Linked DNA regions of Schizosaccharomyces pombe. The protein of the gene in region 2 purifies or fractionates together with the protein of the main gene of each other region. This does not show direct contact. Each region holds a gene or a part of one and is shown on either strand. Other genes may lie near its edges.

Region 1 (3,758 bases), on a different chromosome or scaffold from region 2:
GTGTTCATGTTTACGCATTTCCTTCTATTAGCGCTATTAAGAACTTAAAGTATTTTACAGGAACAGCAGATACTCAGTTCCTTTAAACTCCATAGTATCATAATCGTCTAATTTTCGAATGGAATCAATACTTTTTAAGAACTGTCGATATACGCTCTTCAGACTAAAACCAAATTATTTCAATTTTTAAAAGATTATTATTATTATTACACGATCATGAAAAAATGAATTATACAAAGCTATACAGAACATTGTACCGATTTGGCCACCAGTCCTGAAGCTAGAAGATTTAATGAAGCAATGCTCAACTAATGTTTAATGATAAACACAGAGGAAAACAAGTAGTATCGCGAAGACACTTGCACGCACTTTTAAGAGCACACATTCATCAACTGCAGGTTTTCAAATAAGATACGCAATTTCAGCCTCTATAGTTTTCTTGAATAAAGCTGTGTTGCGCCGTAAAAGAAGAAACTCACAGATCAGTTTCTGATTTTGAAGAAAAAACTTTTCAAAGGATGTCTCTATCATCTGCATCATATAAAAATACTCATAAATGATGACTTACAGTGAAGGGGATTCTCCGGAAAGCTTTTTAAGGGTTTAATGTTAAAGATCAAAAAATAACCTGACCCCGACTAAGGTCTTTTACCCAACAATACCCATGAACATTGACACAAAACTGTGTGATAACTGTTGACATGCCTTAATGTTTTCGAAATTCAGACAATACTGGATAAATGGCTTCAAAAGCTTGGTAAATTTCCTCACGGACTTTCGCACCAGTTAAAACAATTTTACCAGAAACAAAAATCAATAGAACAACTTTTGGTTTTACCATGCGATAAATCAAACCGGGAAACAACTCAGGCTCATACTAAAAAAGAACAGTTAGATACTTATTCGTCTTTTAACAGCAACAACATCTTTAAAGATGATGAACTTACAGATGAGAAAGTACCGTGGGAGTAAGCCAAACCTTCCAAACGAATTGGAAATTTAACATCGCAACTTCCTACAATGTTCTGAATCTTAAAATCCGTGAACTTGGCATTAAAACCGAGTTTTTGGATGATACGCGCATACTTTCTAGACGCGAGCTTGGAGTCATCCTCGGATTTGCCACCCAAAACAACCATTTTACCAGACGCGAAAATCAATGCAGTAGACTTGGGTTCACGGATACGCATAATAACAGCGGCAAAACGCTATGTTTGGTCAATAACAGACCTCAAACAAAATTAAAAGGGTTTAACGTACTTTTGGGTTGTATTCTGCATTACGTGCATGTAGCGCAATAGTTTTGAGATCAAGACGACAGCTATTTTAAGAGGATTATTAGTAATAAGGTCTAATTTGCTAACTCAATGGAAAATTTTGTTAACGAGACGTATCATCCCCTGCGGTCATTGCCTTCGGAAATCTCGTGACATGGTAGTTAAATATAAACAAAACAAAAATCAAATAACCATTAACAATCGCTCTTACCCAAACGCCATGTCTATACAAAAGATTTCCGATGAACTCACCGCGACGGCAATACGCCTTGTTCCCTATCCAAAGAGGCACGACTTACTCTAAGTTTACAGTAGCAACAATATTTTGAAGGGTTGGAACAATGCCAGATACACCTTCATTTTTTGAAACTTCTGCATCCCCGGAATCTGCCGTCTCATTTGTAGCCTCGTTATTGGCATTGGGGAGAACAGGGAACGTTAAAGAAGAGTTATTCATAAAGGCACTCGCTTGCGAGGCCGTGGTGGGTAAAGCGAAATCCATTGCAGTAAATCAATTATTATTTTACGCTACTCGTAGAATTGCGTTATCCCACCCCTAATGGAAAGCCTGCAGGTGACGGCTGCTGCACTTATTTATATATACCCGATCTTTCAGGGTTAGGGTTTCTGAGTGTTGTGAAACCGCGGCGATGGCTGAATAGTAAAGAAATGCGCGATTTTTTATTTATAAAATACGTTTTTACAACTTTCTTATTAGCTTCTATGTATAAATTTCTCGTTTACAAAAAAAAGTCCTTCAAACGCAATACGAACGAGATATAGACGAAAATGAGTATAGGAAGTGCAAAATAAAGTACCGCATTTAGTCTAGAAAAGCTGAATCAAGCTTTGGTATAAAATTTGAACAAAGGCACTAGCTATCTAACCAAGTAGTTGGTTGCTGGCGATGTAAATTTTTTGTGTGCGCAGGTGGAAGGATGGTACGGAGTGAGAGCTGCGTCATATGCCCTTTCAGCAGTCTCGACGCTAACGCTTCACTGTATTTTGTTATATGGATTAACGCTGTTGGTCGTGTCGTAGTTTTTATAAACAAAGGAGAGGTGTTTATTCTCACGTGTAGTAAATAAAAAAAATATACTATAAACAAACATTGAGGGGAAAATAATCTAAGTTCAAAAAAGAAACTGAAGCATTTTCTTTTATTTTTTAAAGTCTTAACATCCTGAAAATCTGTAATTAGCGTTTCACGAATATAGTATTCCATCGCTACTTGTTATTTTATCATTCAATTAATAAAATGTGAAATTGCAGAAAGAAAATATAAATCGATCTGAGTTTTTTTTTTTTTTTTTTTTTTTTTTTTTAATTAAAGAAAACAAAAACAAATCATTAATCCCTCAAGTCTTTATAAGGGTTTTCTTAAACTATAAAAGAAGTATTTGTTTTAAACGGTATCCAAGAGACGATAAACCATTGTTAGTCTTTTGAGATAAATGTCATTCTTTGTTATAATAACCTCCTGATGCATATTAATAAATTGTTCTAAAATATGATTTCAAAGTTTCTTTGTTAGTAATTTAAAGTATCCTTTACAGAAAGAAATAAGATAACATGATATTTACTTTTTGAAATGTAAAATTCAAATTTTTATCTAATATCAATAACTTGACAATGTCATTCAATTAAATGGCTTTAATGCAAAAACTATAGAAGATCTGTAATGAAGGCAGAAACATATGAGGACACCAGAGTTGTTTAAATATTTTCGATTCAACAAAACTAAGATTAATACGGATAAGACATTTTCAAAGCATATCAATTGGTATGCTGAGATGGAAACCAACAACTTATTTGCAATAATATCGTCAAAAAAAAAAAAAAAAAAAGATGAAATAAATCTATTGGCTACTTTACTAGTTTAATATGAGGAAAAATATAATTAGGTATTGAAATTTTGTTTTTATTTTTTGTTTGCAAAATGTTTTTGCTTGCTTAGTTCAAGTACTAACAATAACCTGTAAAATTGCGCATCAAATACTCCGTTATCTTAATTCAGGTTATCCTGCCAAATTTTTACCCAACTCAACGACAAAATAATCAAAATCACGATTTTTAAACTCGTGGCTCGTTGTTTCAATAGTTCTAGTCGCTTTTTTAATAAAAATCTAATGTCGACTAGAAATCCCGCTCAATCGCATTGGGGTGTTCCTAAAGGACAAAGAACGGAGCTCTATGTATACAACACCTTAACTCATAGCAAGGTGCCTTTTGTTTCAAATGGTTCCAACTTAACATGGTACTGCTGTGGACCTACGGTATATGATGCTAGTCATATGGGGCATGCTCGTAATTATGTGACAACTGATATCCTTCGAAGAATCTTACAATCTTATTTTGGATATAACATTACATTTGTACAAAACGTTACTGATATAGATGACAAAATTATCCTTAGAGCTCGTCAACAATATTTATTTGAAGAATATAAAAAGCAGCAAGGTACTAACAAATCCCATTCAG
Region 2 (3,758 bases):
TATTTTTGGTTTTAAAATTGAATAAAAGCGGGGACTGTTCGCCGTCCGATAAGTTATTCCGGTATGTCAAATCCCAAAAGTTAACATCAGTATCTGCACCTCCGGAAACCAGAATTTTGTTATCATATGAAAAAGAAAGAGAATAAACGATACTAGAGTGTTTAACGAATGAAACGTGCTGATTACTACTTCTGAGATCCCACACTTTTATTATGCCCGATTCATCAGCAGATGCCAACGATAAGCCATCAGCAGACATACACAATGCAGAAACAGGAGAATGATGGGCATTAAACACGCGAACTGTTCCACCAGTGCGAACGTCCCACATTCTAGTTGTATGATCACTAGATCCTGTAGCAAGATAAGCTGCATTCGGATGAAATGAAACACACTAAATCAAGGTTAGTTACTGCTCATAAGAATTGTTAGTTAAATAAAGTTCCTTACATCCACATCATTTTGATGTCCAACAAATACTCTCAAAGGTGCTGCATGCTCAACATCCCATAGACGTGCTGTTTGGTCGTGCGAGGCTGTTGCAAAATAATAGCCGAAAGGGGAAAACTGAACGTCCCAAATCGGCGCATTATGACCAGCATATTTGACAATAGTGGACTTAGTATCCTTGGACCACAAACGAGTAAAGCCATCCTCAGAGCATGACAGTATAAACTCTTTTTGAGGAGAGATGCTCACTCCAAAAACTGGTCTCGTATGTCCAATTAAAGAGGACTTTTGTAAAGGCTCATTTTGACTTCCCACTAATGGTTGCGGACCATTGTTAGTAGAACTGTACAAATGAATTGAAGAGTCTGCGCAACCCAGAGCGAACATAGAGGCGTCATCAGAGAATGCAGCACAATTTACAGCGGAAAGTGTATTGTGCATGGTATACATGAAAACACTAGGATCCGTAGCATTTTTTCCGAGTATTAAAGAATTCTGTTCGCTTTCCAGTAAAGAAACAAAATAGTCTATGTCCTTCATTTTGGTTGGAGGTAATGGGGGATCAGATGGTGATTCTAGAGTTGATTCGTTGATTAGATTTTCTTTTTCAGTCAGCAATTCGACAAGGTTCTTTGCAGGATGCAATATTTTATTCAGAGCTTCATTTCTTCCCTCCACGTCTTTATCTTTTACTTCTAACAAGTTTTTTAAAGTTGTGACAACTTCTTCTGACAAGGGACGTAATCCAAGTTGTATGCTTTGCTTGTTGTAATCAAGAAGCTGTTCGGAATGGCCAGGAATTCCTTCTTGCTCACTAATTATTGTCTGTTCATTTTTAGCTTCGTCCATTTCATAGACCGCTTGCACATTAGGGTCCTCCTTGCCCTCGACTTGAGGCATAGTAATTTTTATATCAATGTACTGATTCAATAAGCGAATTATTATTCCACTTCCATTGACTTCGTTTTCGAACAAAAACTGTACTAGTAAATCAAATGTAGACCTCGTGAAATTAATCCGGTATTTATTTTTGCGATAAAGCTGAGCTATTTCTATCTCCTCAACGTCTGATGCAATCTTCAACTGAGCTAATGCTCGAATGTCATAGCCATGCAACACTTCATGCTCTATACGAAATGATTCAAAGAAGTATATTGCCATTTCGGGATCATTTTTTTGCAGTAAGTCTAAGTAAGAGTGTACAAAAATTGGATAAAGGACTTTTTGTAGTTTTGGCTTATACAAATCTAATGTACCATCAATCCAATCTCTTAATAAAATATAAACTTGTACATAAGTTTCAGAAGCACCGATGTGCCAGTCTTGCTGTTCTTCAGGAATTGCGCCAACACTGGATATTTCCAACCGAAGCATAGCTTCAGTCCTGGAATAACCCTTTTTAAACAGATAGTCCAAAACAATCTTGTTTAAATCTGAAGTTGAATTACCAGAAGAGTAGGAAGATTGAGCCATTTTTAGTAGTTAGTCATGCGTTTACTTCTTTTATACGTGTGTCGACTGCCACCTAGGTATTCGAAGTGTTAAAAAATATCTTTCGGCTTATCACGTTTTCAGAAGAATGTATAATATATTTTTCTTCTATAGTTTAACAACTTTTAATAATTTTGTGGTGGTGTTGAATAGTCCATCTGGCATCCTTAGTTGGACTGTGTATCTAAACTCAAACGAAGCGTTGACTCACCATATCTAATAATTGCAGCTATCTTTCTTATTTTTTTAAGAATTGGAATTGTTGATATATATGTATGATCAAATGAACTGCTTCGCATTTTATCATCTAAAGATTAGACTAATAAGTCTACCGATTTTAGGATTTGACAACTTAATATTTCTTAATGACGCTATATGAAATTCGTTAATTCAGCAATAGTAAATCAATGGATAGGATGAAGAACAATTTTCGTTTCAATATAAACGACGTTGTTAAACATTATTATTAGTACAGCCTGATTATTGTTATGTAGTCAATTTTAATTACATTATAAATTTGTAAGTGATTTCCTCTTACCTCATATTTCATTAGCGATCAGTGAATTTTGTTTGAGCCGCAGAACAACTTTCCGTAAATAAATTACTTTGAATACTTTGCCATAGTAATCTGTTAATTATTATGCGATATCCAAATTTGTTATTCTTGGCCTTACCGATATCTGAGCACTATATCGAGGAATCTTTAAAGTATTTTAAACTAACATCTAATGATCCCATGATATTATCTGGATTTCGTGGCCCTCGTGTCTCACATCTTACTATTGGTATGATCCCGGTTAAAAACGACGAAGACGTTCTCAAGTGCATGGATTTTTTATACAACAAAGAGGATGAAATCCGAAAATCCTATGGCGAGAAAAAGATTACAATCGATTTAAAGGGAACTTCTTTCTTTGGGAAATCTCCTCAGGAAGCCAAGGTGCTGTATGCTACTCCAGTGGACAAGCATAATGGTAATGACTTACAAGCCTTTTGTGGTACGGAGTTTTTATTTTTTTTATTAATAAGCTAATTCATAGAATGGTTAAAAGTTATTTTCACTGAACACAATCTTTTTACTAAAGACGCTAGACCTCTTACTGTACGCATTATGCGATGTTAACCAAATTATAATTTTGCTAACAAAACTAGCTACACTGCACCTTGTTAAATTCCAGGTATATAAAATACCAGGGGCGACGTATCAGGTTTTTTAATTCGGAACCTTTTATGGAAAAATACGGTCAATTTCTTTGGGCTCATAATATTGAACTTGATAAACTAAGTATTATGAAAACAGGCGCTGTTGGAGAACCGGGTAATATGTATTATGAAGAGTTAGCCTCAATTCCTTTACTCGTTAATGATTGATTATAAAGGTAGTAGTTGTTGTTTACAAAAACGCTTTTGGAATCGATTGTTTACCACATGATAGTCACATGTGTAAACAAATATGAAATTGGTCATAGAAGTAATATCGGTGCAATTTATAACTCATTTTGTTTTGACGAAGCACAAATATATAATATAGCTCCTTTTACCATCATTTCTCGAAATTGATTGAAATTTTGGAAACTATTCAAATTATTTTGAGATCCTTTATTATAATTGATTTCACATATACATGCTGATAATTTGACAATGGAAGACAAAATTGAAGGTAATAAACGAACCATTCACATCTTTTAACACATCTCATAGTTTGCTTGCAAAAGGCTATTGCTGTCGACACAATGAGCATTCCGGTAATGCAGTTAAAGCATGAGCGTAAGTAGACTAATTTATGTTAAATTATTAATTATTAGTTGCGCTTAAAG

Evidence for each region. Proteins that work in one complex are often made in the same cells at the same time.
Region 1: the proteins of taf51 (region 2) and tbp1 purify together in Schizosaccharomyces pombe (affinity purification with western blotting, with the first as the bait; 2 studies listed by BioGRID). This does not show direct contact.

Annotation. Positions count from the first base shown.
Region 1 is NC_003424.3:4,413,568-4,417,325, reverse strand, and holds tbp1 (TATA-binding protein (TBP)), read right to left. Parts: upstream 1,848-3,758; 5' UTR 1,780-1,847; coding exon 1,577-1,779; exon of another isoform or gene 1,322-1,576; coding exon 1,261-1,321; exon of another isoform or gene 1,209-1,260; coding exon 948-1,208; exon of another isoform or gene 878-947; coding exon 707-877; 3' UTR 175-706; downstream 1-174. Other genes in the region: SPOM_SPAC29E6.07 (uncharacterized protein), read right to left, coding at 2,152-2,502; SPOM_SPAC29E6.06C (cysteine--tRNA(Cys) ligase Crs1), read left to right, coding at 3,407-3,758. UniProt on the Schizosaccharomyces pombe protein: General transcription factor that functions at the core of the DNA-binding multiprotein factor TFIID.
Region 2 is NC_003423.3:3,032,046-3,035,803, reverse strand, and holds the start of taf51 (transcription initiation factor TFIID subunit taf73), read right to left. Parts: upstream 2,098-3,758; 5' UTR 1,924-2,097; coding exon 451-1,923; exon of another isoform or gene 395-450; coding exon 1-394. Other genes in the region: SPOM_SPBC15D4.13C (ASCC1 family protein), read left to right, coding at 2,582-2,915, 2,982-3,043, 3,094-3,312; protein mug98, read left to right, coding at 3,675-3,708, 3,747-3,758.